Linked DNA regions of Anolis sagrei. The protein of the gene in region 2 interacts with the protein of the main gene of each other region in a biochemical or structural test. Links are inferred from orthologs where the notes say so. Each region holds a gene or a part of one and is shown on either strand. Other genes may lie near its edges. The genes, in order: LMO2 and TAL1.

What was found.
Region 1: the proteins of TAL1 (region 2) and LMO2 form a complex in vitro, tested with the Homo sapiens proteins (2 studies listed by BioGRID). The link is inferred for Anolis sagrei from reciprocal best matches to the Homo sapiens genes TAL1 and LMO2.

Annotation. Positions count from the first base shown.
Region 1 is NC_090021.1:268,077,054-268,092,189, forward strand, and holds the start of LMO2 (rhombotin-2), read right to left. Parts: upstream 5,680-15,136; 5' UTR 5,120-5,679; coding exon 5,079-5,119; intron 1-5,078. UniProt on the Homo sapiens protein: Acts with TAL1/SCL to regulate red blood cell development. Also acts with LDB1 to maintain erythroid precursors in an immature state.
Region 2 is NC_090024.1:177,398,656-177,413,956, reverse strand, and holds the start of TAL1 (T-cell acute lymphocytic leukemia protein 1), read right to left. Parts: upstream 7,755-15,301; 5' UTR 7,603-7,754; coding exon 6,932-7,602; intron 3,808-6,931; coding exon 3,719-3,807; intron 1-3,718. UniProt on the Homo sapiens protein: Implicated in the genesis of hemopoietic malignancies. It may play an important role in hemopoietic differentiation. Serves as a positive regulator of erythroid differentiation.

The DNA.
Region 1 (15,136 bases), on a different chromosome or scaffold from region 2:
GTTAATACAATAATAACAGCTGAGGTAAGGTTGCATTAATCTGGAGAAATACTTAAGCATTATAGCTCTCCAGTGTGTATCACCTCAAAAATACATGACAGAATTCCAAGATAAAGAAAAAGGATTAAACTACTCCAAATCATATTATATAAAGTTTGCCAAGATTAACTGATTTTTTTAGGAAAAACCACAGCGCTTCTGTCTTTCAACACATGCAAGATAATTATGTTTAGCAGACGGATCAGATTCAATCCCATAGAAGAAAAATCTCCAACCTAAACTCATAACTATATAATAATGGAAATGAGCAGGTGAAAAGTTCTGCCCTTTAGAGTTGCTGTATAGTCTAGTTTTGTCTATCACCAAAGACAAAACAATAAATATATATGAACAATAAAAGTAAAATCTATCGCCATTTCCTCCTGAGCAGGACCAAACCAAAATCCACCAAACACAGGAATCCATCCCACAGTTTTAAAGCATTGCTATCACTTCTCCAGCTGACAGTTAAGTCAAACAGAACATTTATTTCCCCCACCTGCCACCTCTTGACATGAAATATTCATTATACTTTAAAATCTGTAGGAATGAGAAAAGCATTTTCTCAGGTAATGAAACCAAAATGCAGACATCCCCCAGGCATATATAAATAGCTAAGGAACAGAAAAAGGTGTAGAATTCTCTGAGAGCAAATCTATCTTTATCAAGTTTGAAGTACACTCCCAGTTTCTTCAGACTCGAACGGTCTGGGTTTGTGCAGCAGTTTTACACCATAATAATCAGGATATTAAAAAAAATTAAATTCCCATAATATTGTGTTTGCTTTCAGGAATGACATCTGCACCGTTAGTCATTAGATGTATGTAGTGCAACAGAAGTATCACACTTAATGGCAATCCAATGTATGGACCACTCTACTCAGGAACTGGGGTATAAAGACTCATTCCCCAAAGAGTGAAAAGTAACAAAATTTGAAAGGGAAAAAAAACAGTGTTATTCCTGTTTAATTGTGCAGTAATTACTTTGGAAGTAGTTGTTATACTCTGGAAACTTTGTTTTTGTGGCTGCCACTAGCTATGTTGAATTGATTGAAACTCAAGGAGATATTCATTGAAAAACTATAGCAACATAGGCTGCAGGATGTCCTGCAAAAGCAAAGTGTTGACAATTTAATAAACTTTTTCCATGTTTTTAAGATATAACCAATTAGGAAGTGACATTTATAACCCAGGAACAAAAATCATGTTACAAAGTGTTATGGGATATGAAAACTGATGTATTACGGAAAACAGGAACAATTGTCACAAGTCCATAATATTTTGTCCCTATATTATCTATATTTGAAAACTTGTTCCAACAACTGATCCCAATCACGTGCACTCTAGCATACTTTCAGTATAGAATCTGTGTCTCAAAAAGATTGGGACAAGGATCGAAGGCTTTCTAAGATACGTCTGTCCCAACATGTAGGTTTCTTTTGTTTCAATACACAGCCTACTTTTTCCTCAGGCCATGTGGGAATCATTGTCAGATTAAAAACAAAGCACATTAAATACAATGGCAGTCCCCAAATTCCATTCATGGGAGGAGAACCGCCCTGTGTCCCCCAGGGGAGATAGGGCAGGTTACAAATAAAGTATTATTATTATTATAGAAGCAGGACATAGAACAAATATATAAATGCAAAGTTTAAAGTTAGGACATATATACCATTTATTTGTTTATATCTTGTATTTCTTCTGATACAAGGGCTGATAGTGTATAGACAATTTCCACTGCTTATAATATTGAGAAGGAACTAGTAAAATTAATAAAATGCTACCATCATAAACAGAGTCGTGTGAATCTTAGTCACTAGCTCAACAGGATTTAATCCCTATGTACAATATATAGAAGGTTTGTTTCCATAAAACCCAAATTCAGTTATATCATAAGTAATGCCTTAAGTATAATATCTCTACAGATATAAAATGGTATGTGCCTATATTACTTTGGTAGGACTGTAGCAATGAGCCATGGCATTCAAAGTAGTGTTTAACTGCATTAATTCTACAGAGTAGATGCACCCAAGGCATGTTAAAGGTTACATTTAATTGCAAGCCTCACTAAACATTATATCAATTATCTCTAAGTAAAATATGGATAGTAAAGGTAAAGGTTTCCTCTTGACATTAAGTCTAGTCATGTCCAACTCTGGGGGGTGGTGCTCATCTTCATTTCTAAGCCGCAGAGCTGGCATTGTCTGTAGACACCTCTAAGGGCAATGACTCCATAGAGCACTGTTACCTTCCCACTGGAGCAGTACTTATTGATCTGTTCACATTTGCATGTTGCCAAACTGCTACGCTGGCAGAAGCTGGAGCTAACAGCAGGAGCTCACCCAATGGTTGGCATGACGGCTGGAGTGCCGTTACCTTCCTACAGAAGTGACACCTATTGATCTACTCATATTTACATGTTTCCTAACTGCTAGGTTGGCAGAATCTGTGGCTACTGCTCACCCCATCCGTGGATTCAAACCGCCGACCTTCTGATCAGCAATTTCTGTAGCTTAGTGGTTTAACCAACTGCGCCACCATGGCCCCAAGTCATTTCTTCCCAAAGTAAAATTAAACTTAAAAGTCTTTAATATTTTCTGCCAAAAAGTCCTAGCACCTCATCAAAATACAACTCCTAGGATCCCATAGCAATGGACCATGGCAGTCAAAGTAGTTTTCAACTGCATTAATTCCACAGTGTATAGCTCTTGTTGTGGCTGATGCACAGAGGCACTTGTGATCAAGGTTTTGTTGTGACCCGATGCTCGCATTATGAATTTTATTAAGCTAACCTTAAGAAATGGGACTACAAAGGAGTCCACAACATCCGAGTGCGGAGAAGAGCAAACCACAGACCACCTACTACAGTACAACCTGAGCCCTGCCACATGCACAATGGAGGACCTTCTCCCAGCGACACCAGAGGCCAGCTTCTGGTCAAAGGACAGTTAGCATAATGCCAAGTTTTAAAACTTTGTGTTTTTAAATACATTGTAACTGTACCCTCAACTCGCTTCTGACACAATAAATAAATAAATTATGAAAAAGTGGATGTTGACCCTACATCTGATCATCTGATAGCATCCTTTTAGTCAAGTCAGCCTATTAAATTGGGCTGGGAAGGAGGAAAAAGAGCCTGAAAACAAATTCTAGTGTTTGGAAAGTACTATGATCTGCTTCCTCACCTCCATCCACATAAATCACTTCCATAATTTTGTTGAAGGCTTTCATGACCAGAATCACTGGGTTGCTGTAAGTTTTTGAGGCTGTATGGCCATGTTCCAGAAGCATTCTCTCCTGACATTTCAACTGCATTTATGGCAGGCATCCTCAGAGGTTGTAAGACCTCTCAACCTCTGAGAATGCCTGCCACAGATGCAGGCGAAACGTCGGGAGAGAACTCTTCTGGAACATGATCATACCACAGCAACCCAGCACTTCCATAATGATCAGTGTGGGCACATCTTTACTATAGTACTAATGCCATTTGACAGTACCTGAACTGCCATGGCTCAAGGCTATGCACTCCTGAGATTTGTAGTCAGGTGAGGCACCAACACTCTTTGGGCTGAAAAGGCAAAAGACCTTGTAAAACAACAACTCCCAAGATCCCATCACACTGAGCCATGGCAGTTAAAATAGTGGCAAAGTGCATGGATTCTACACTCTAGGTACATCCTGAATCTCTCAACCAAGGCAGCGGATGACAGTGAAGGGAAAGGAGAGCCATTGACCCAAATGTCTTCTTCTTCCTTGTCCCCACTTTTTCTCTCATCGGGGAACCCATAAGACATCAAAAGACTTTTGCTTCCTATTGAACCAGCACCAGAATAACTATAGCTGCAAATCTCTCTTTGCTTTTGCCAGTATGCCTTTTTTGCATCAAAAGGGCCTAAATGCCATACAAAGTCACCACATTCACACTGATCTTCGGCTCAAAAGGGTCAGGCCCAGTTAGGACTTGGAGGGGAAACTAAGGGAAACTTGGAGGGGAAACTTGGAGGGGAAACTAAGGAATTCCAGGTGCTGCAGGCTATATTCCAGAGGGAGGAAGAATATGCCTTGCCTAAGAAAACCCTATAAGGTTGTTGTAAGTTTTTAGGCTGTGTCGCCCTGTTCCAGAAGCATTCTCTCCTGACGTTTCGCCTGCATCTATGGCAGGCATCCTCAGAGGTTGTGAGACTTCACATTCTCTGAGGATGCCTGCCATAGATAGCATTCAGAAGAGAATGCTTCTGGAACATGGCTATAGTAATGGTAAAGGTTTTCCCCTGACATTAAGTCTAATCCTGTCTGATTCTGGGGGTTGGTGCCCATCTCCATTTCTAAGCTGAAGAGCTGGCATTGTTCATAGACACCTCCAAGGTCATGTGGCCGGCATGACTGCATGGAGCACCCATGGAGCTGGAGCGGTACCTATTGATCTACTCATATTTGCATGTTTTCGAACTGCTAAGTTGGCAGAAGCTGGGACTAACAGCGGGAGCTCACTCCGGTCCTCGGATTCGAACCTGCGACCTGTCAGCAAGTTCAGCAGCTCAGCGCTTTAACCCATAGAGCCCAAAAAACTTACAACAACCCAGCAATTCCAGCCAGGAAAGCCTTCGAAAATGCATAAAACCCTATAGGGTCGCCCTAAGGTGACAGGTAACTTGACGGGACACACATATATATCCACACTGGAAGTCCTCTTTGCGGTCCTCGCTTTCCCTTAACCACTCCATTTCCCTTTTCCCTGAACTCTAAAGTTGTAACTTACCGCAATCGTAGGCATTTGGGGACTGAAGGAAAGAGGGGAAAGGGGGTCCGAATGCGTCCTTCTCTTTGCTCCCTTCCCTAGCTGCACTTGGCAAGCCCAGTCGCCAAAGGAGGACCCCAAAACCGGGGATCTAGGCAGGACAAGGGCGGACCTCCCCCTGGAGAAGATGGGATTTCTCTCCCAAAGTAGGACTCCCCAAAGTATGCCCAGATCCCCGAGAAAAAGGGAAAGGCGAGGGGGAAGGAAGGAAAGAAGGAAGGCAGGAGGGAAAGGCCACTTACTCGGAGGGCTCGAGGCTTTTCCTTTCGATGGCCGAGGACATTGGCAGCTCTGGCTCGGGGTCACCCCACCCGCGACCACATCCACGGGGCTCCCTTCGGGAAAGGGAGAAAGAAGAGGAAGGATACAGGCAGGCAGACCAAAGGAGCCCGGGGCGTGGGGAGGCGGCCTTTCGGGGAGAGACCCTTCTTCCCGGGAGCCCGGCGGGCTTTCAGCTTCCCATCCTGGCCAGGCGCTTGGTCCTTGCCGCGCTTCGATCCCGGGATGAATCCTCCTCTCTTTCTCTCTCTTTCCCTTGCTGCTTTAGGCAGCGCTCAGCATCCCTTGCTGCTCCTCCTTCTCCGCCGCCACCACCATCAGCAGCAGGACAGCGGCTCCTCCTTCATCTATTTCTTCCTCTTCTTCTTCTTGCTGGTCCCACTTCTGAAGCTCTTCTCTCTGTGTCTGTGTCTTTCCTTCTCTCTCTCTCTCTGTCTCTCTCTCTCCCTCCCTCCCTCCGAGCCGCTCTGCTTTCACATCCTCTTTCCTGATCACGACTCCAATACAATAGAAGGAAATGACATTTTAAAGAGACAGCTGTCTATTTCTTCTTCCCTGGCCCCCCACCCCTCCCTTCCCCCGGGAATAATTGCAGCCGACGCATCTCTCACGACGACCGAGGCGGGCGCCTTAAAGGGCCAGAGCTCGCCTTTCCCTGCCCTGGCCGCGCAGGGTGGTTGCATCTCGTTATTTAGGACTCATATTTTACTTGATAGTATGGGTAACCGCTGGACTCAAGGGCCGCAGACCTTTGCTAAGGAGGAAAGAAAGCGGGCTTTCTGGGGAGGGAAGCGAGGCCGGGCTCTCCAAGAGGCAAGCGGGGCACAGGGAAAGTTGTCTTCTGCCCAGGGACAGCATACACATCTCTACACAGGTAGAATCGGTTTTAGGGGCCGGGTTGCGTTTATTATCAGATAGGACTTTCATCAAAATAGGATTGTAATGTCTCTTCTCTCTGCCCAAATAATTATTGTCTTCCTCCTTGGCTAGTCATTAAGCCATTTGCACATTGTCCTTTCTACTTGTTAAGCAGTGACAAACACTTTACCTGTCCAAAGGTGTCTCTCCCTATGAACCATCAAGGACTTTAAGATCATCTGGGGAGGCCCTGCTCTCGGTCCCGCCACCATCGCAGTCGCATTTGGTGGGGACAAGAGACAGGGCCTTCTCCATGGTGGCCCCTCGGTTGTGGAACTCCCTTCCTAAAGAAGTTAGATCTGCCCCCTCCCTGACTTTTCACAAGACACTTAAAACTTGGCTGTGGAACCAGGAATAGTTAGTAAAGTTTTTTTTAATCGCAATTTCTTCCTTTAATACCATCTTCCCTTTGTCTACTTTTAATAGATCTTTGTAGGTGGGCCACTTTTGCCAGCCTAATTCTCATCTTTGAAAGGCTTCTAGGGGTGACAGCCACGTTGGAGTTTTGGTATAAAATTTCAATTTATATTTCTCTATGGTATTGGCCGGGGATGGACAATGGATTATGGGACTTGCAGTACCTTTGCTCAATTCCTGAGACCACTGCAACCATCATCCAATTACCGACAAAGACCAAACTTGGCAAACTGAGTCTCCATGACGCACTCTACATCCTGCTGTGGTTTGGAGGAGGATGCACCATGGACGATGGGACTTGCAATACATGCACTTCCTTCCTGAGACCATTACAACTGCCAACAATGATAGATCAGGATGACAATTTACACAGAGAGCCCGCATGACCCACTCTACATCCTGGTGCAGTTTGGAAAAATTTGGAAATGGATGATGGGACTTGCAGTAACTTCACTTACTTCTTGAGACCACTGAGACCCTCGCCAATGACTGATCAAGACCAAACTTGGCACACAGAGCCCCCATGACCCACTCTACATCCTGGTGCACTTTCAAGGAGGACAGTCCATGGATGATGGGACTTCAAGTACCTCCACTCCCTTCCCAAGACTGCTGCAACCCTCATCTAATGACCAATCAAGACCAAACTTGGCACACAGAGCCCCCTTGACCTACCCTACATACCAGTGCTGTTTGAAGGAGAATGGACGATGGATGATAGGACTTGTAGTACCTTCACTCACTTCCTGAAACCACAGCGACACTCATCCAAATACCAATAAAGACCAAACTTGGAACAGAGATCCCCCATGGCCAACTCAATATTCTGGTGAGGTTTGGGGGAGAACAGACTATGGGTGATGGGACTTCAAGTACCTCCACTCACTTCCCAAGACTTCTGCAACAGTCATCTAATGACCAATCAAGACCAAACTTGGCACACAGAGCCCCTATGACCCACTCTCCATCCTGAAGCAGTTTGGAGGAGGATGGACCAGAGATGATGGGACTTACAGTACCTTCACCAACTTCCTGAGACCATTGCGAGCCATATAAATAACTGAGAAAGACCAACCTTGATACACAATTCCTTTCTCAAATAACCCTGGGCAGCGCTGGGTCCCCAAGCTAGTATTAATCATATTAGTCATTATTAGTAGGACATTATTTTTTAATACTGGCAGCCAGATTTTGAAGCAGCCAGGTTTTGAGCCTGCAGGGCCATTAAGTGCTAATCAAGGTGGTCAATTGCAACATTCACACCTGTCTCAAGCAAACAAGAATTAGATTATATTAGTCACTATTAGATATTATTATATACACATATATATTTATTATATGTATATGTATGCATATATCTGTGTGAGTATGTGTATATATACACATATGCACCCATGTATACATATGCATATATGTATATGCATATATATGATTAATAGTATCTAATATATACACTAATGTCTAATAATGACTAATAGAGTCTGATATGAGTGTAGACGTATATGACTGATAGCTAATATCTGAGAATGACATTCATGTGGATACAGATGAAGGCTTGAGCAGGCACATAAAAGCCAGTAATGGAAAGAAACCGCTATCTCATCATCTTTTCCAGCCTCTCCCTCGCTCCCTTCTTCACCTCTCCCCTCCAGCGAGGCAGGAGGATAATTCACACCGTGGAGCGAGATCTGCTTCGTGGTGGAAATCCCCTTAGAAGTGCAGTGACAGCAGTGCCAGGCTGGAGGTGCGCCTGTCTCTCAAGTACAGGCGGGGACAGGGAATTAACTGCTCCAGTGGCTCCTGGATAAGTTACAGCTACTTAAGCAAAGGGAAGCAGGAGATCAAAACCCACTCGAATGTTGGTGACATGTACCATTCCCCTTGCAGATATGTCCTCCCCAATATGTAATGCAGCAGGTGGTGATGAAAATTTAGCGCATTTCTAATTGGGTTGTTGTAGGTTTTTTCGGGCTATATGGCCATGTTCTAGAGGCATTCTCTCCTGACATTTCGCCTGCATCTATGGCAAGCATCCTCGGAGGTAGTGAGGTCTGTTGGAGCTAGGAAAATGGGTTTATATATCTGTGGAATCATTTCTAATTGCCTAATTTTAAAACTGTATCTGTCTTTCAGCTTCTGTCCAAACTCTAGGGGAATCTCAGGGCAAAGTGTCAGGGCCTCCTCCAAAAGGCATTGGTGCCAAGTGGACAAAGACCCTTCATGGCATGGGCTATAAAGGGAATTAGGTTTAGCCTGCCTTCCTGGTGCCCTTTTCAAAATGCAGGTCACTAGTCACACTTTCAGAACAGTAACTTCCTTCCAGGCTTGTAGCCGGGGTGGAGGGGGGTGTAGGGGTTCAACCCCCCCCCCCTGAAATTTTTCAAGTTAAAAAAAACACCTGGTTTACTCATGAATTTTAACTGGTTAACCAAATCCTAATGCTAAGTCTATGAGATGCAAAAAATTAAGAGTCCCTCCAGAACTGCAAGCACTATCTCAAGCAAATATTGACAATTTATTCACACTGTCATTACTTGCAGCAATAGCCGATGTAGCGAAGCAACCAAGTTGGGGGGGGGGGGCTGAATGCCAGACTTGGTGGAGGTGGTTGACAGGGGCAGAGCTGCAGGCTATGGAAGGCTGCTCTGCCCCCTGCTGTGCTCTTTGCTTCAGCGTGACCCTAACCCCCCCCCCCCATGAAATTTTCAACCCTCCCTGAAATTTTCAACCCTCCCCAAAATATTTTTCTGGCTACGGCCCTGCTTCCTTCTGACCCGGAAGCTCTTCCTATTCAACTTTGATTATATCTCCAATGGATAATCTTTGGAGAAGGAAGGGACCATTCAAATGCATTCAGATTTGCTGTCACCAATATTACACAAATATCGATATCTGGTTTCTGGATGTCTGACTGATTGCTCTATGCATGGGTTACAATTTGACCAATTGCTAAGATCTAACTACATAGCACTCTTACAATAATATAGTGTGTGTGTTTTGGAGTCTTCCCCCCCAAAACATACACACGTTGTCTCACGTAAACAGAGAATTCATAGTTATTGGAGGGGGGGGGGGATATTACCCAAAACAAAGCCTCCTCCGCTGACCGCAGTGTGTGAGGTGGTCTATATAGGGAGATGTGGTTAGACAAATAGCCTAGCCCCGAACCATTTATAAACCAAACTCCTTCTGGACAAATATATCCAAGAAAGAAAGAAAGAAAGAAAGAAAGAAAGAAAGAAAGAAAGAAAGATATATATATATATATATATATATATATATATATATATATAAACTGGGTGTGTTTAGCTGGGTTGAAAGAATTGGGCATATTCATCTTGGTGGAGTGAAGACTGAGGGATAATGTGCTTGCATTTCTGAAATACCTCTATGGCTGACACAAAGAAGAAGCAGGTCTGTTCTTTGCTGCCCAAGACTTTAGGACCAAGTCTCATGGTATGAAGTTACAAGAGGGAAGATTTCAATTTAACATTAGAAAGAACATCTCAGCAGTGACAGCAGTTCAGAAAGAGAACCAATCGCCTAGAGATGCAATGAGCTTTCCTTCTCTTGATGTCTTCAAGAAGAGGACAGCTACCTGCTGAGGGTGCCACAGCTAGACATTGAACATCATGTCTCTCGGCAATGGATGTTTCAACAATGTCTAAAATTTAACATCTCAAGACGAAACAACTTATTGTCCTCCAAAACCATCCTTGGAATGTATATTCAATGTCCCTCTTTAACCTTTGAAGAAAGCACATATCGAAACCATGGTCTTGGTTTTATTTTTGACTCTTTTATGTCCTTTCTTTCTCACACTGAGTAAGGGGTCAAACCTGATGGCCCACAGGGCGCCTTCCAATGTTTTTTTTAATATATTTTTTATGATTTTATGATTCAATCCTCAAGTTTTTCTTAAGGAGAAGATGGATGCTGCCATGCCATTCCCACCAAGGACTACTTTTCATAAGACATAGTTGGAATGTGGCTTACAGCCTTTGTGTCCCAAAAGCCAAAGGTAGGAAGTCAAAGTCAAACAAATTATACCTTCAGATTCAGAATATGCAAATATACATTCTATTTCCCATCTTATTTTATCTGAGCCCCTTCGGGGTGAGAAGGGCGGCATATAAATGTCGTAAATAAATAAATCTCTGTATGTACAAAAAGGTGTTATTTGATAGAGCATATCTATTTGGGTTTTTAAAATTGCTTTTATTATAAAATTCAAGTGGCTATATATAGAAAAGAAGAACGTTATCATTTACAGCATGGCTTCTTGTTATTGACTAATGCATGTACCACTAATAAAAGAATTCAAACAAGTCAAATAAGCTAACTGACAGACAAAAACAGAAGAGCACATTCATATTGTTAATATATAAATGAGAGCCTTATCCCACTACCTGCTTTGGTTACTACTCTTGTGGAGTAACCATGCATCCTAAAACTGCAAAGGAGGCACTGCCTAGGTGAGACTGTGAGTAGTCGATGCTGTTTGGAGTGTACAATGCCAGTGAAAGGCCTCTAGCATCTCAGGCATTTCTAATAGCGGCCCAAAGCCACACTTTTACCTCTCTTGCCATGCCAATCACTGCATCACACCTGAGAAGTAACAGTAATGCTGGGCCTGCTCCTGTACCAATGATTAATAAGGCTGGTTGTTTTGAGCAGTGGAGAGAGCTTGAAAAGCTTTATACAACACTGAGCATGGAGTATAGGACTTGTCACTATATAATAGATTAGAGTGCTAAGAGAGACAATTTACTGTCTGAAAGTTACTTTTTTGGCCACAACCCCCCACTGTTTACAATACACATGTATGTCAGAGTTTCTCAACCTGGGATACAGGACCCCTAGTGGGGTCACAAGGGGGGTGTCAGAGGGGTTGACAAAGACCATCAGAAAACACAGTATTTTCCTTTGGTCATGGGGGTTGTGTGGGAAGTTTGGCCCAATTCTATCATTGGTGGGGTTCAGAATGCTCTTTGATGGTAGGTGAACTATAAATCCCAGCAACGACAACTCCCAAATGTCAAGGTCTATTTTCCTCAAACTCCATCAGTGTTCACATTTGGGTATATTGAGTATTCATGCCAAGTTTGGTCCAGATCCATCATTGTTTGAGTCCACAGTGCTCTCTGGATGTAGGTGAAGTACAACTCCAAATTCAAGGTCAATGCCCACTAAACCCTTTCAGTATTTTCTGTTGGTCATAGGATTTCTGTGTGCCAAGTTTGGTTCAATTCCATTGTTGGTGGAGTTCAGAATGCTCCTTCATTGTAGGTTAGCTATAAATCCCAAAAAATACAACTTCCAAATGACAAAATCAACCCCCCGCAACCCCACCAGTTTTCAAATTTGGGCATATCGGGTATTTGTGCCTTCATCCAGTGAATGAATATACATCCTGCATATCAGATATGTACATTACAATTCACAATAGTAGCAAAATTACTATTGTGAAGTACCAACAAAAATAATTTTATGTTTGGAGGTCACCACAACATGAGGAATTGTATTAAGAGGTCGCGGCATTAGGAAGGTTGAGAACCACTGATGTACATTATCATAACTTGTACTGATGAGTAAGTGGGGCAATCTTTGTGTTTTCCCTGTAAACACACCTACAACCATTCTGAACCACTGATATGGATTTCCATGATATGCAGCTAAATGTGCAAACATTTCAGATAACTGCATTTACATACAAATGCAATATGTTGCAAGAAAGATGGTTGCTGCTGTAATCCCTGAGTGATAAACATCATGTGGCCTCAGATATCAAACCCAGGAAAATTGTCTAATAAATCTAGAAATCATATAACTGGTATCCAAAACAGAAGCAGAGATTATCTATGCAGACATTTTGTAAGCTTTAGAATACTCTTGATTAATTTTCATAAGTCTTTCAGTACTACAAAATTCAATATGGAGGTTCTTACCTTCCGCTATATTTTTTGTCACATGAAAATATCCACATTGTACTTTCTCCCTTTTGATTTATAAAGAGCTCTCTCAATGTTTATGCTTTTCATTTCATACATGTGATGCTATGCTGCAAACGAGAGAGGAAAATACTGCAGAACGGTGAAGTATCAAATATTCAAAAATTTGGAGAATGTACTTATGTTAGCTAGTTAAACCAATAGTAATGTAGGAGGTATTGCATAAAGACAAATGTCATGGAAGCTCTGTGACACAAAAACACAGCTTAGTTTCATGTGGCGGGTGGAGTATTAAAATACATTGCATTAGTAGGAACCCTCTGAAGATGTATATAAAGGGTTCTGAAGCCAGAAGGGTGTATCCTTTATTCAAGGGTGTATGTATTTCAAGCCACAATCAAACAACAGTTTTCTAAGTGGAATTTCCATTCATATCTAAAATAAGCTCTTTCCTGAAGCTTTCAGTAGTTGCACACAATGTCAGCTCCTAAAGGATAAAAGAACAGGAAGCAAAATAAACATTTTACTGACATGGATTAACTGATTACTCTTTTCAAGTGGAGAAAAAAAAGAGACTACCGTGTAAGCTTGGTTTCCAGAAATAAACTTTCGCTTCTTGCTTTGAATGTGTAAGTAATAACTTTCCATGTGTACTTTTCTCTTTTCATAAGATCTCTCTTTTTGTTCATGAATATGACACTGAATTCTACTTTCTCACCATGAGTAATTAACTACTTGCTCCCTCTTTTCTTTACAACATCTATAGTTCCTTTTGTCCTGCAGGAAGAGGGTGCATAATTACAATGAGATCTGTAGTAAAGGTAAAGGTTTCCCCCTGACATTAAGTCCAGTCGTGTCCGACTCCGGGGGTTGGTGCTCATCTCCATTTCTAAGCAGAAGAGTCGGCATTGTCCATAGACACCTCCAAGGTCATTTATTTATTTATAATTTATTTCGTGTACTTCTACCCCGCCCTTCTCAACCCCCGAGGGGGGACTCAGGGCAGCTTACAAAAAGGCACATCTTGGTGCCCACACAAATACAATAACATATAAAAACAGCAATTAAATGGTCAACAATTAAAACAATTAAAACAACAATATATCTCACAATCGATAGCCAATCTCAGACACAGCGTTCGCCAACTCAGAGTCCATATTTTGTTCCACATTGTCCATTCCTATCCGTCGTCACAGTCCTTTATTCATCTGCCAGATTGCCCAAACGCCTGGTCCCACATCCATGTTTTTAATTTCTTTCTGAAGGAAAGGAGGGATGTTGCTGATATAATTTCCCCGGGGAGTGAATTCCATAGGTGAGGAGCCACCACTGAGAAGGCCCTGCTCCTTGTCCCCACCAATCCCACTTGTGACAGAGGCGGGGCCGAGAGCAGGGCCTCCCCAGAGGATCTCAAACTCCGAGGTGGGACGTAAAGGGAGATGCGTTCGGACAGATACGCTGGGCCGGAACCGTGTAGGGTTTTGTAGGTCAAAACCAGCACTTTGAATTGTGCTCGGAACTGGATCGGCAGCCAGTGGAACTGACATAACAGGGGGGTGGTATGCTCCCTGTATGAAGCTCTGGTGAGCAGTCTGGCTGCCTCCCGCTGGACTAATTGAAGTTTCCGAACAGTCTTCAAAGGCTGCGTTGCAGTAATCTATCCGGGATGGCATGACTGCGTGGAGCACTGTTATCTTCCCAATGGACCGGCACCTATTGATCTACTCATATTTGCATGTTTTTGAACTGCTAGGTTGGCAGAAGCTGGGGTTAACAGTGGGAGCTCACCCTGCTCTCTGGATTTGAACCAGCAAACTTTCAGTCAGCAAGTTCAACAGCTCAGCGGTTTAATCCACTGCGCCACCACGGGCCCCTACCCATAGCAGAGGGTTATAAGGATATCAATAGTTTTATGAAGCATCTTTCAACAAGAACACACTTGTTTTTTTACCTTACACTGGCAAATAAAACATTATTTCTTCCTGTTGACTTCTCTTTGTTTATTTTGAGACCTCATACTCTGTAAGCTTGTTGTTAAGTTGTTGATCCTTCTAGACTGAGAATTCAGTAATACTCTGTGAATATTCATTAAGATGAGTGATACTGTCCATTCCCTTCTGAATGAAACCCTATATCAGTCCAGTGTTACTAATTATATTTTGCATATGTGTGTGTGCCATGGCACGGGAGGTGCAGTGTTTAAGCAGAAACAGGATCACCCCAACTGCAACAAAGTAATGAGGATGAAGAAACCTGCCCCTCGATAAAATTTTGCATTTAAGAGACAATATTGAGAGGTTAGGCTTGATCACATAGTGAATTTGAGAGGAAAAGGGGGGAAAAAATCTGAATTCAGCACTGGTGCTGTCTTCTCTCCTTCTTAATCAAGATGGTTGACCAGAAATGATATCACTAGTCAGGAAAAGAAAATCCACAGTCAGATGGGACTCACAAAGGATTATATCACAGAAGGGAAGCAAGCTGGCATTGAAGCTGGCTGCTATCAAATGGTACTATACACATCTTACTGATGGTCTGCCATGTGATTAACCCATCCCTTGTTATTGACCCACCAATAGGTCACAGTCCCTCAGTGTTAACTTCACCTACCTTGATGTGTTTGGTTCCTTTCGCTTTTGTGCTGGCATGCAGGCAGTAAAGTGAGGCTGGGAGCTGGATTCTCCTCCTCTCCACTCTCTTTCACTATTCCTGAACTGTGTTTTCTGATTTTAAAA
Region 2 (15,301 bases):
ATCAAGTCTTAAATAAAGTGTAAGTAGTTATATGTGTCACTGTCATCTATTGCAGAGGTGTCAAACTTGTGGCCCTCCAGATGTTTGGGCCCCCAACTCCCAGAAGCCCTAACCAGCTTGTCCAATGGCCAAGAATTCTGGAAGCTGAAGTCCAAAACACCTGGAGGGCCACAGGTTTGGTACCACTGATCTATTGGGCCCCAAAGTTTTCAATTGAGGGTCCCATTTCAAGTTATTGTTCTACATCAGTGAAACCTTATCATCATCCTCACTTATACTTTCTTGAGTCCAGATCTAAATAGTATGTGGCTTGCCAAATGTTTTCCAGTTGTCCTCCATAAAGCCCAGTTTTGCTACCTAGTTGAGACTACAACAGAAAGGGCTGTAAAAAGTCTGTGTTCAGTTTGATGGAGCACGGGAGTGTATTATATAAAGTCCAGAAAGCTGCTATTTTGAGGTGGATGTTAACATCCCCATTTAGATGAAAACCAAGCTGAACACAGACCATCGGATGTCCAAAGAAACCTAAACTTCAAGGTAGATCCCCATGCCTCTAGCCAATGTGCCCTCATCTATATCTGCCAAAATTGGCCAGAATCTACTGGAAAATGTCTAAACTTCCACAGAAATACACCCTCTATTATTCCTAGAATCATAGAATCATAGAATTGGAAGAGACCTCATGGGCATCCAGTCCAACCCCCTGCCAAGAACCAGGAAAATTGCATTCAAAGTACCCCTGACAGATGACCATCCAGCCTCTGTTTAAAAGCTTCTAAAGAAGGAGCTTCCACCACACTGCTGAATGGCTCTCACAGTCAGGAAGTTCTTCCTAATGTTCACATGGACTCTCCTTTCTTGTAGTTTGAAGCAACTATTCCACGTCCTAGTCTCCTGCACAATCCTCCTATAAGTTGCCCCACCACCTTACTTAATTGAAAATGACTCATTTTCAATTATTTCATCCTTTCCATCCTAATAATTTAGAGAGTTGGGTGAGGGCAGAAAAAGCAGACGAATCCTAAAACTGAAAGTCTTGAAATCAAAACTTAATTAGAACCTCTACCAATTTGGCCTAATTCAACCCTAATCTATAAATAGCAACCTCTATAGAAAGATCTTGTGTCACTTCTATTTCTATTTCTATCTCTGTGGAAAAGCCATTGATTAAGTATGGTTCCTTATGACACCTCCTGGCAACTTACACCATTGGAATAATACTATGATAAAAACAATAAAAAGAATATATATATCCAATGAATGTCATAATGAGGATCTTTCTCAAAGAAGGATTGTTTATCAGTCGCTGTTTCACTTGGATGGCTATAACCTGGAAGTTGCTCTCACCTCAATCTGCTAGATCGTTAAGGGATGAGCTGGACACAGCTTCTTTGTCCTATTTTCCTCTCCTCTGCGACTCATTAGTCATTTTCTTATCTAGAGTTTAATACTGCTGGGCAGCTCCTCAGTTGCAGAAATTATGTACTAATAGCATCCACTGTTCTTTCTTGCAATCACCCCTCTACTCCATTTGTGAGTCTTTTCACACTAGATGATTATATTGGCATGATTTCTTTTTAACGGGCATGGCCCCATCCAATGGAATCCTGGATCTGTATAATTTGGTTGAGTCACTAGAGCTCTCTGGCTGAGAATAGTAAATATTTTCCTTAAACTATAAATCCCAGGATTTTACGGGATGTTGCCAGGATCATTACAGTGAAATCTCAACAATACAATTGTGTAGCGTGTAGAGATCTCCCATTGCAACAAGGAAATGAAAGAGATGAATTACAGGAGAAACCAAAGCCACCTCCTCCCAGTTTGGCACAAAATAGTATGGCAAGGTTGAAATCTTTACATCACAATCTGGCAAACCCTCTTGCACCTCCAACCCTGCCCCCAACAACCCACAGGCAACGCAGTTATGTTCTGATCTGCTTACAATATGTGCTTCACTTAAAGCTCCATTAAAGGAAATTTCATGACTAACATTACAAAAGTCACAAAGCACTAGATGACTATTGTCTTCTCTCTGTTTTCACAATCTTCATACTTAATCCTGAGCATGAACTGTATATACTTGAGTATAAGCCTAGAATTTCAGCACTTTTTTAGTCTGAAAAAGTCCCCCTCGGCTTATACTCGACTCAAGGTTATTTATTATTTCACTCTATTATTGTTGTTGTTGTTGTTGTTGTTGTTCATTCATTCAGTCGTCTCCGACTCTTCGTGACCTCATGGACCAGCCCACGCCAGAGCTCCCTGTTGGCCGTCACCACCCCCAGCTCCTTCAAGGTCAGTCCAATCACTTCAAGGATGCCATCCATCCATCTTGCCCTTGGTCGGCCCCTCTTCCTTTTGCCTTCCACTTTCCCCAGCATAATTGTCTTCTCTAGGCTTTGCTGTCTCCTCATGATGTGGCCAAAGTACTTCAACTTTGTCTCTAGTATCCTTCCCTCCAATGAGCAGTCAGGCTTTATTTCCTGGAGGATGGACTGGTTGGGTCTTCTCGCAGTCCAAGGCACTCTCAGAACTTTCCTCCAACACCACATTATTACATTTATTCTTTTAATTTATTGTTGTTGCTATTACATTTATTATTTTACTCTATTTATTATTGTTACTAGGCATCCCCTGCCACACGTTGCTGTGGCCCAGTCTGTGAATATGTGTTCTGTGTGTGTAAATATGTGTTTATATGTGGCTTTGCGCATGCATTGTAATGTATTTTTTTTGGCTTTTTAAGTCTCTTCCACTGTGATTTTCAGTGTTTTTATGAGTGATAGTCACTGCTTGGCCTGATAGCTGTATTGTGTCCATATTTGATGTCAATTCGTCCAGTGGTTTTTGAGTTATGTTAATCCCACAAACGAACATTACATTTTTATTTATATAGTTTGTTACATTTATTATTTTACTCTATTTATTACTATAATTATTACATTTCCATTATTTTACTCTATTATTGTTGTTGTTATTGCATTTATTATATGACTCTATCAAGCTCATTTACATTGAAAAAGGTTAGAATTATGGTTTAATCAGAGTTGGGCAGCCTTATCTTAAATTGCAGTTTTATGTAAATATTCAAAAAAATTAACCTATTGATGCCTCAATTAATGTAATTTTATTGGTATCTATTTTTATTTTGAAATTTACCAGCATTTCCCACCCTCAGCTTATACTCAAGTCAATGTATTTTCCCTTTTTTGTGGTAAATTTAGGTGCCTCTGCTTATATTTGGGTTGGCTTATCTTGAGTATATACGATACATAATCGTCCTTGTCTCCACTTCTGCTTTCCATCTTAAGACACACTAATAGCTAATTAGTACATACAAATGGCCAATCATTCTCCGCATATTGAAGAAAAATGGCAACAGTCATCCACACAACAAGGAGGGTTTGGAGTAACTCCAAAAATTGGTCAGTTATATTTTTAAATAATAAATGGATATTTTAATGAGAATTCTCAAAATGCAAGTAGTTTGAATCACCTGAGGAGAGGCTTAGAACTGGAGGAAGGGTAAAAGCGGACATTCTGGCTGACTACAACAAGAAGCTCCATGCTACAACAATTTCTGCAGGTCCCACTTGTAGGCTACTGCCTAAATTATTTCAATAATTTAGCAATAATGGGCAATGAACTGGCAGGTACAGTTATGATCCAAAAACCATCCTAACCCAATAGGAGGGGGGGGGGGAGAATTTCTCACCATCAGAGATCTCCACTTCATAGGGAGAAGGTCTTCTTTTCACTCGATTGTTGTACATTAGGTAGTTGTCTGGCTCTCCAAAAAAAACACTGTCAAAGAAAAAGCATAAAAACAACAAAATGAGTGAGGAAACCCAGGTGATCTAACTCAACAGACCAACACAAAAGTCTATGGGATGTTCTTCATTTAGTCCCTCCAAGAAACAACGCATATATGGAAAAGGCATGCCTGAGTGGACTGCATGAGGCAGGCATTTGCAATATGTGCACGCACAATGTAAATGCTCACACAGAGAGGCACAAAGAACCCGAACTGCAATTCTAAACTAAATTGTGAAGGTGCAATTTCATTGAAATCCATTCATCTTGTAACCCAAAGATTTTATGATTTAGATATCTTTAGTGCTGTTAAGGAATTCCTAAAGGAAGAATGAAGGCATAAATTGCAGCATTTTTAATTTAAAAAATACCACAGGGTTGTTTACCTGGCTAAAAGCATTTATTCCAAGACATTGGTGTCAAAGCATTGGCTAATCGTGCCAAAGTTGGCAAGGCCGTGGCTTTGCAAAGCTTTCAGGCACAACGTCAATGTTAATAGCCATAAAAACTACATGACATTCCTGTTGGTACCAAAAAATGGCATGGCATTTCTGCTACCATCCAAAATAAATGAAAACTTTTTTAAAAAAAAAAGAAGACCCTAAACAATAATTTAACCAATGATGACAACTTTGGGTTGCTGTGAGTTTTCCGGGCTCTTTGCTCATGTTCCAGAAGCATTATCTCCTGATGTTTCACACACATCTATGGCAGGCATTCTCAGAGGTTGTGTGGTCTGTTGGAAACTAGGCAAATGGGGTTTATACATCTGTGGAATATGAACAGATTTATAAACCCCACATAAAAAACAGAGTGAACACTCACTGTAGTTTCTGGAAATATTTATTTTCTCCCTAATTCTGATCTACTCCACCAGTAATGTATGTATGTATATATGTATGTATGTAAATGTGTATGTGTGTATCTCTGTGTGCGAAGGGAGGGAGGGAGGGAGGGAGAGAACAAGCAATATCTGTGTTACTACAAGCAATTTGTTATTACTACACCAGGACAAATCATTCATATTATCTGAAGGTACAAAAATGCTTTACCATTTTTCTAAGATACACATTTCCAAAATGAGCAACAAAGGAGTCCCCTTGCGGAGAGAGGGTGGTCTATAAATAAAGTTACTATTTATTTATTTATTTATTTATTTATTTATTTATTTATTATTTGCCTTATTTATACCCTGCCTTTCTCTACCCCAAGGGGGACTCAAGGCAGCTTACATATGGCAATTATTCAATGTCTTAACATATACAAACAGTAAATTTAAAATCAATTGAATTAAAATTAATGCATATATTGTTATTGTAATCGTTATTATTATTATTATTATTATTATTATTATTATGTTTTTAAAGATCTGCCTGGGAAGGTGGCTTGGTTTCTTTTCTTTCTTTTTATGCTATAAAGGATGACAACATAGATAGCTGCCTGCTTTTAGCTTTTGTCACTTCACCTGGCTTTGCCCTATTTTCTGCAAAAAAAAAAAAAAACTATTCCCTTTTGGCAGTTCGCTACCAAGAGGAGAAGGGTTTTTTTTTTTTCTGGGAAGGCCTGCTCTTCCTTTCATGCAACAGTGTTCCTGGGGCTCATTCCAACGGTGCTTGTATATCAGCCATCATAAGGAGAACAACCACAACCACAACCACAACAATAAAAGTTGTAACTGAGACCATGCAATGACAAGACAAGAAGGCACTGGGTTTAGACTTGTAGTACTGAAAAAAGGATACAAAAAGAAAGGGCCAAAGGAATCAGAATGGAAAAGAGAGAGAGAACAGAAGCAGGAGAATTAAGCTACAAAGGAAAGGGAAAGGACTAAAGATGGAAGAACTAAACAACATTGGAAAGGGAAGGGAAGGGAAGGGAAGGGAAGGGAAAGGGAAAGGGAAAGGGAAAGGGAAAGGGAAAGGGAAAGGGAAAGGGAAAGGGAAAGGGAAAGGGATCATAAAGGAAAGGAAAGAAGAAGGAAAAGGGGAAGGGGAGGGGGAGGGGAACAGAAAGGAAAGGAAAGGAAAGGTAGAGGACAAAATTGGAAAAAAAGGCAAGGAGAGGAAGAAATCGTTCGGACAAAAGACAAGACAACTATGCAAAATTGAGAAGGAAAAGACAAGAGAGAAAAGGAAATGCCTAAGACAGGAGAGGCCGGCTAAGCAAACTGGGAAGGGAAAGGAATGGGGATAAAAGATGAGACAACTAAGCAAAATTGTCAAGAAAAATACGAGAGCAATGGAAAGGAAAATAAAAGGAAAGGAAGAGGAAGAAAGGTCAAGAAGAAGGAAGAAACGGGTAAGAGAGAAGGCAAGACAACTAAGCCAAACTGGAAAGGCAAAGAGAGGAAAAGACAAGAAGAGAAATGAAGAAGATGGGAGGTGGAAGAACTAAAGAAAATTGGAAAGAAAAATAGAGGAAAGAAATGGATATGACATAAGACGGGACCACTAAACAAAAATGGGAAAGAAATTGAGAGCAGGGAAAGGAAAGGAAATGGAAATGGAAAAGGAAAAGGAAAAGGAAAGGAAGAATACAGGTAGAAATGCGCTAAATTGAGGAGGGGGAAAGGAAAGGAAGACAAAAGGTAGGAAAACTAAGCCAAACTGAAAAGAAAAATACAGAAAAGGAAAAAGACAGAAAGTGGGACGACTATGAAATTGGAAAGGGAAGGATACAAAAGAAAGGAAGGGAAAGGAAAGGAAAGGAAGAATACAGGTGGGACAACTGCGCTAAATTGAAAAGGGAAAAAAGGAAAGGAAGACAAAAGGTAGGGTAACTAAGCAAAACTGGAAAGAAAAATAAAGGAAAGGAAGAAGCCTTTCCTACTGCGAAATGGGAAAAAGAAGGGAGGAAAGGAAAGAGAAAAGGGGGCAGAAGACATGAGAGAGACAAAACGAAACTGGAGAAAAGAAAAGGGGTAGGACTCGACGGAAAAGGTGTCCTGGTCTCATAAGGAAAGCCCAGCGGCTCAGTCGGAGAGCGAGCGAGCATACGGCCAAGCGCAGGGGCAAAGGCTGGGCCGCTCCCCCTCCTCCTCCTCCTCCTCCTCCCTCCCCAAAGAGGGCCCGCCGGGGGATCGGGCTGCCCGGCTGGGAGGGCTTTGGGGACGGACCTGCTGGCGTTGGCGTTGTCGTTGGCGGCGTTGGCGGCGGGGGCGGCGGGGCCGAGGGGGGCTCCGAGCCCGTAAAGCATGGTCCGCGGGGGCGGCTGGAGCGGGAGGGCGGGCGCGGGGCTGAGCTGCACCATGCGGGCGTCGCTGCTGCTGCTGCTGCCGAGGTTCCCTCCTCCTCCTCCTCCTGCTGCTGCTGCTGCTGCTGCTGCTGCGTCGGGGGGCGTCCCGTTCCCGTTGCCGAGGGCGAGGGCCAAGGCGGGCGCGGTGTGGGGGCGGTCCGGGTCTGCTGCGGTCCGGGCGAGAATGGCGCCTCCGGCCGGGCCCCGGGCGGCTTTTATGGCTCGCCCTCCGCGCACCAGCTCGATCACGGGCACCGGGGCGGCGGGGGGGCCGGCGGCGGGGGAGGGGGGCGGCCGGCCCGTCTCCTTGGCAACCCCATTCAGCGGCGCCGGCTCCCCCGAGGGGGGGAGGAGGAGGAGGAGGGAGGACATCCCCCCGCCCCCGCCCTTGACGCCCCCCACGCCGCCCCCGCCGCCGCCGCCGCCGCCGCCGCTGCTGCTGCTGCCGGAGCCCAAGCCCACGTCCGGCTCGCCCAGGCCCTCGGCTCCAGCGCCGGCTCCGTGGGGCGCTGCATCCCGCGGCGGGTCACTGGGGGGCCTCTCCATCAGCATCCTGGGGAGACAGACAGAGGCGCAGAGTAGAGCGGGAGGCCGGCAGAGGAGGAAGAAGGCGCAGGGAGACGGAGGGAGGAAGAAGGGAGGATGGAAAAGAGGCGGAGGGAGAGGGAGAGGAGCCAGGAGGAGGAAACCTCACGGAAGGAAGGAAGGAAGGAAGGAAGGGGGGCCGGGAGGGAGGGAGGGGGGAGAAGGAAGCAGCCGCAAGAGGAGGAGAGGGAAAGTTAAAGCCAAAGGGGAGACGCGCAGAAGAAGCAGGGGAGGAGGAGGAGGAACACAAGACCAGTCAGCGCTTCAAACTGGGAGGGACGGGAATCTCCCACAAAGGACGCCTCCGTGCTCCGTGGTTGGTGCCATCGTCATCCGGGTCTCAAACTGGTTCAGGATTTCCGCACACCGAAACCACGTTCTTCCACGCCGGTTTGAAACTGCAGTCAATGGTCAGTGTAGAGGGGACGGGGACAAAGTTAAAGCCAAAGGGATGCACTTCTTTGGGCCGGGGGCTTAAGGCGGGGAGGGGAGGAGAAGGCCCTCGAGGCGGAGAGCGCAGGAAGGGCAGCCGGACTGAGAGCCGAGTGGGAGGAAGCCATCCCGGCCTGGCCCGGAAAGAAAGCCTTGTGCGTGAAAGAAGAGGCCTGGGGTTTGCGTGGAGGGACGAGCCCTTGGCTTCTTCCCCTCCGTCTCCCCCCTAGCACTCCTTTCACTCGGGGCCCTTCCACACAGCCCTAAAGCCCAGAATATCAAGGCTAAAAATCCCACAATAACTGCTTTGAACTGGGCTATCCGATAAAGTGGGTTTTCCTGCCTTGATATTCTGGGATATAGAGCAGTGTGGAAGGGCCCTCAGATAACCCACTTCAAAGCAGATATTGTGGGATTTCCTGCCTTGATATTTTGGGATATAGGTCTCTGCAGAAGGGCCCTCAGACATCCTCCACTACAGCCTGGAAGAATGGACAGCCATCACACCGCCTGGTTGGGTTTTCTTTGGAGTACATCCCAAGCCTTCCAAATTGGATGAACCTATTGATTTAATTGGGGCATTCATTCATTTCTAATATTTCTGTATCTTTCCTGGGCCAGAAGCGGGTGGGCGATGCTGATGTGGCTCTGGGTGTTTTGTGGCGGCAGAAGAAAATAAAGCATCCCCAGAGTCCATCTTTGGGGGGAAAGAGGAGGACGAGGAGGAAGATTGACAGCTGCCACTCCTACAGTCTTTCCAACCAACGTCGGTGTTAGAGATCACCAGGGACGCTCGGAATTATCCTTAAGATGTGGGAGAGGCCTTGACATTACTTACTTAGGCGATCCCTCGTTGTCCGAGTAGGATTGTCTTCTAAGATCAGTGTACTGGTGGTGGGTCCGTAGGTGACTGTGGAGCCCTATTCTTGATCTGCATGTTCTCCCACAGTGAGGGCATTGGCTTCCAGGTGGAAGGCCGTCTTGGCAAGTGTCTCTCTTTCGCCTTCCATTCGTGCCTCTTCAAATTCTACAGCACTGCTGGTCACACCTGACCTCCAGCTGGAGCGCTTAAGGGCCAGAGCTTCCCAGTTCTTGACATTAGCAGCCTCTTGTGTATGTATATATTACAAAATTTAAAAAATTCCAAATACATTGTATAAAACTATCATCGTGTTCTCATCTGACCGAAGTTGGTAACAATGGGGGTGCTATGAATATAATACCAAATGAATGACCACACAATCATCAGAGGGGCAGATGCATAGGAGTCTCGGTAGTCGAACTTGGCCTGCTTTTACTCCGAGGGAGGGATTGGAGCCCCTTCTTCCAGGCTCCATAGCAGGCCTGGGCCAACTCGGGCCCTCCCCCCAGGTGTTTTGGATTCCAACTCCCACCATTAACAGCCTCAGGCCCTTTCCTTTCCCCCCTCAGCCGCTTAAAGGGGCCTGAGGCTGTTAGGAATAGTGGGAGTTGGAGTCCAAAACACCTGGAGGGAGGGCCCAAGTTGGCCCAGGCTTGAGCTAGAATGATAATGCTTTCTCGAGCGAGAAATAATATAGCAGTCAGAACAACCAAAAGCGTTGAAGCGCAAACACTCCAGCTCGCCATTCTTAAGCTATTCGTTTTCTAAATGTACACAACTCCTGCCGTCACACATAGAGTATCTCGAAATGTTAAGACATCATTTTCTAGGCTCGATCTGGAGTTTCGAGGTCTAGATGACAGGAGAATCAATCGCGCAGACGAATCGGAAATCAGTGGCTCCCTTTTGATCCAAGATTACCCCATCCACCCCCACCCTCTTTTCCCTTTTTTCTTCCAAGGAATTGTGTTCGAGGAAGAAGGGAATCGATGGGAATTCGCCAGTTTAGCTCAGGGTTTTGCTCCTGGGATGCGCCACCCCGTCGGGAGGAAATTGGTTTGCTCCCATCCCATGGCAGGTCAATGAGAGATGGAGTCTCCCCTTCCAAGTGTGTTTCGGATTGCAGCTTTCGGCGGCCCTGTGGAGAAACGTTCCCATTTTAAAACCCTGCCATATAAACCCTCCAGAAAGAGGCGCCTTTGGAAGCAATTTACACTGAGCCGGATTGGCGAAGAGGCCGAAAGAAACCCTCACTGCAAATCGCTTCAGTGCAACGTAATTATTTCCGTGGGGTTTTTCTCCGCTGAGCTGCGGGTTGTTAATTTCACGCCTCGCTTCTAAATCCAGACAGCGCTTCGCTCCGCCGTGGAGAAAAAGGGAAGAGAGAGAGAAAATACAGAAAGGGAGAAAGATACTGGAGGACTGAACTCAGAAATCCCGGGACCATCGCCTTGGGGCCTTTCCGGAAGAAGCGAAATGACCCGGGGCGACTCCTTGAGAGTCAATCTGCATCTACACTGTAGAAAAACGCAGTTTGATATCACTTGAATGGTCCTTTTGCAAGGGCATTAGCCTTTTCACCTCTGCCAGAGAGCTCTGGAGTCCCCGGTGGCGCAGTGGGTTAAACCCTTGTGCGGGCAGGACTGAAGACTGACAGGTCGCAGGTTCGAATCTGGGGAGAGTGCAGATGAGCTCTCTCTGTCAGCTCCAGCTCCCCATGGGGGGACATGAGAGAACCCTCCCACAAGGATGGTAAAACATCAAAAACATCCAGGCGCCCTTGCAGACGGTCAATTCTCTCACACCAGAAGCGACTTTCAGTTTCTCAAGTCGCTCCAGACACACACACAAAATCCCCAAACTATAAATCCCAGGGTTCCAAAGCATTGAGCCAGGGCAGGTCAAGTGCATTCATTCTACAATGTAGATGAGATTTACTTATCAAAGCAGAAATCCACATTATCTGCTTTGAACTGGATTATATGAGTCTACGCTTCCATATAATTCAGTTCAAAGCAGATGATCTGGATTTTATATAGCAGTGTAGAAGGGGCCTAAGCTCTGTTGAACTGAATGGGCCTGACTTTGGGCTTCCTACAACATTGCTGTCTTTTCTATTCATCTGCAAACTTGAGACTTCAAAAAGACAGAGGTCAGTGCCTAAGGTGCCCCATCTATCACACAATGTTGTTTTTTGTGCGCCTTGCAATCGTTTCTGACCGAAGGCAAACATATCACAGGGTTTTCTTAGCAAGATTAGTTCAGAAGACATTGGCTTGCCATTGCTTTTCCCTGAGAACCAGAGAGTGTGACTTGCCCAAAGTCACCCAATGGGTTTCATAATGTTACAGCAAAGAAGCACGAATTTGAGAGAAGACAGATACCTTTGGAAGCTCCATAAAAAGATGCCCATCAAGAGTGAACACCTTGGGAGCAGGGAGAACCACACAAGTCACATGACACTGACAGAGCACTGTGATTCCATTTGAGCTGCCATGGTTCTGGAAACTGCAATTTAGGGAAAGGCTATTTGCAACTCTTAGCTACAGAATCCTCTACTACAGGGGCGTCAGACTCATCTTCATCAAGGGCCATATCAGCCTTATAATTCCCTCCAAAGTACCATTAAATCCATGTAGGGAGAATCCATGGATACAGAGGACCAACTATCTATCTATCTATCTATCTATCTATATCAGTAGGTAACTTCCTCTTTAAAGGTATTTTATTGCCCTGGCTTCTTGGCCACGTGGTCATTCTCCGAGAAAGGGCCCTCAGAGACAGACAACTCAAGTTAAAAAAAAAAAAACCCTTTCTCTGTGGTTGGCTCAACTAATTACTCTTACTGAATCAATGGGATTTATTCATATGCTGGCTCACTTCAGCCAGTAGGTCTGCTCTAACCAGGAGTGGCCAAGTCTTCAAAGGTTAAAATGACTATCTCAGGGCCCCTCTACACAGCCCTATATCCCAAAATATCAAAGCAGAAAATCCCACAACGTGTGCTCTGAACTGGGTTATCTGAGTCCACACCCAGATAAAGTGGGATTTTTTTGCCTTGATATTATAGGATATAGGGCTGTGTGGAAGTCCCTCAAGCTTCAAGGATTGTGCAAAGATTGCCATCTTATGCACACTTATCATTCATTTTCAATAAAAAAAAATGTTAAAATGTGTCCATTTAAAAGGTTTTAAAGCATGCTTAGGCTCTTTGTTTTTAAGGGGAAATTTCTATCTCTTAGAGATAATATAAAAACAGTGGGTTGGTCTACCACAATCTAGATGTGGATGTGATTTTGATCCCTGAAATACTTGATTCGAAACCCAGAACACACTTCAAAGTCAGGGGTTTCCCAGCTACAGCAAGCCCTGCCTAAACCTTACCATGTTGCAACAATCCCACTTGTTGGCTAGGCTTTTGGCCACATTTCAAAGTGCTGTTATCACCTATTTAAAAAAAAACCCCAATGTGGTTTAGGTGATGATAATCTGACAGATCCTATCTCTCCAAATGAGCCTGTCCTTGTTTTGAGACTTTCTAGGGGAGGTCATTCCCTGCCTCTCCTCCCCATATGGGTACATCTCAATGGGAAATGAACAGGGTCTTTTCAATTACAATTGATCATCTTGATTAGCCTTGCAGCTTCAAAGTTTGGCTGGTTGCTGCCTGGGGGAAATCCTTTGTTGGGAGGTGATTAGCTGGCCCTGATTGTTTCTTGTCTGGAATTCCCCCGTTTTCTCAGTGTTGTTCTTTTATTTACTGTCCTGATTTCAGAGTTTTTATAATACTAGTAGCCAGATCTTGTTCATTTTCATGGTTTCCTCCTTTCTGTTGAAATTGTCCACGTGCTTGTGGATTTCAATGGCTTCTCTGTATAGTCTGACATCATAGGAAGCAGCCAAGCTTTGAAACTGCAAGGCTATTCAATACAAATCAAGGTGATCAATTGCAACATTCACACTTGTCTCAAGCAGACAAGAGTTCTTTCTCCCACCCTGGACATTCCCCAGATATATAAACCCCACTTGCCTAGTTTCCAACAGACCTCACAACCTCTGAGGATGCCTGCCATAGATGTGGGTGAAACGTCAGGAGGGAATGCTTCTGGAACATGGCCATACAGCACAGAAAGCTCACAGCAACCCAATGCCTTGTTTGTTTACCGTTCCTGAACATTGCAATCCTGGAAAGCATTTCCAACAGTCAATTGTAAGTAAAGCAGGTCGTTTGGATGATGCCCCCTTGTCCCCAAGGGCCTTATGGGGAAAATATGATCTCTGAGGCCATTTACAAAGGGGCCACAAGGCAAATGAGTCCAGTATCGCTCAAATATCCCAACTTCGCATCTCGGTGTCGGAGCTGAAAAAGTCCTGCAGAAGAGGGGATCGTTATGTGTCTTTTCCAATGGTGTTAGAGTAGTTTTTCACTATTCCCCTCTTTGTCTAAACACCCATTTTTGCGGCCTTTCTCCTTGTCTCTTTGTCCTTCCCCTCTGCTGTTGCTCCCTTTTTGTGGTTTATGGGTGGAGTCTGGGATGTGTAGGGTCCTAAATTTAGCAAGAAATCTCCAATCTTTGGAGATTAGGGCGCGAGTATTGCAAAGTGTGTTGGCGATTCACACATCAAACAAAACCCTGAGTGGAAGCTTTGGAGGAACGTGGCTGCGTTTGGGGGCTTCCGGAAGCCGAGTGACTAGAGAAAAAAATCCACTTAAAATCCGGTTTCTGCCTCCTGCAGAATTCTGGGGTTTGTACTTTAGTGAGGCTGGTAAAGTCTCCTCCCTAAACTACAAACCCCAGAATTCTGCAGGAGGCAGAAACCGGATTATAAGTGGATTTTTTTTCTCTAGTCTGATAAAAGGTGGCTAAAATCGAGGTAAATACGTTCACTGGGGTAGGCAGCCACATTCAAACCCAGTATTAACAAGGGATGTAGGAATCCTACCCGGCCTGCCAAGATAAGCATCGCTCTCTCGCCTGATGTCTCTGTCTGGCTTTATTTCTCGTCTTAGAATCGCTCTCCTGAAGATAGAATCCAACCATTCTCTCCTAAAGCGCCATTTAAATTGGAAATGTCAGCACATTCATCAATTAGAAAATTAATTCCAGCACATTCATCAATTAGAGGATTAATTTTTAATGCGCGCGCAATCACACACCTTCTTGGACCCAATCAGAAACGACAGGTTGGGCTTGGGGTGACTCTCCAGTTTTTCAACAGGATTTGCCATCAATCGCAAAGAGGGGGGTATTATTCATCCCTGGAATCGTCTATTCCAGATACATAGTGCTAGCAAAACCACCTCTGGGTATTATTAGCCTCATCACGCTACAGAAAAAAATCAACTTAAAATCCAGTTTTTTCCTCCTGCAGAATTCTGGGGTTTGTAGTTTAGGGAGGAGCCTTTAACAGCCTCATTAAACTACAAACCCCAGAATTCTGCAGGAGGCAGAAACCGGATTTTAAGTAGATTTCTTCTCTAGTGTGATGAAGTGGATAGAATCATAGAGTTGGAAAAGTCCTCATGGGCCATCCAGTCCAACCCCCTGCCAAAAAGGAATTCAAAACACCCCTGAGAGATGACTATCCAGCCTCTGCTTAAAAGCCTCCAAAGAAAGAGTCTCCGCCACACTCTGGGACAGAGAGTTCCACTGCTGAACACCTCTCGCAGATAGAAAGTTCTTCCTAATGTTCAGGTGGAATCTCCTTTCTTACAGTTTGAAGCCATTGTTCTACATCCTAGTCTCCAGGGCAGCAGAGAACAAGCTTGCTCCCTCCTCCCTATGACTTCCCCTCCCATATTTTATACATGGTTATCATGTCTCCTCTCAGCCTTCTCTTCTGCAGGCTAAACTTGCCCAGCTCTTTAAGCCACTCTTCAAGGGGCTTGTTCTCCAGACCCTTGATCATTTTAGCCGCCCTCCTCTGGACACATTCCAGCTTGTTAACATCTCCCTCAAACTGCGGTGCCCAGAATTGGACACAGAATTCCAGGTGAGATCTGACCAAGGCAGAATAGACGGGTAGTATGACTTCCCTGGATCTAGATCAGTGTTTCTCAACCTGGGAGCCGGGATCCCTGGGGGGTCACGAAGGGATGTCAGAGGGGTCACCGAAGTCCATCAGACAACACAGTATCCTCACTACCTCTGAGGATGCTTGCCATAGATGCAGGCGAAACGTCAGGAGAAATGCCTCTAGAACATGGCCCTATAGCCCGAAAAAACCCACAAGAACCTACAGTATTTTATGTTGGTCATATGGGGGTTCTGTGCGGAAAGTTTGGCCCAATTCTATCATTGGTAGGGTTCAGAATGCTCCTTGGTTGTAGGTGAACTACAGATCCCAGCAACTGCAGCTCCCAAATGTCAA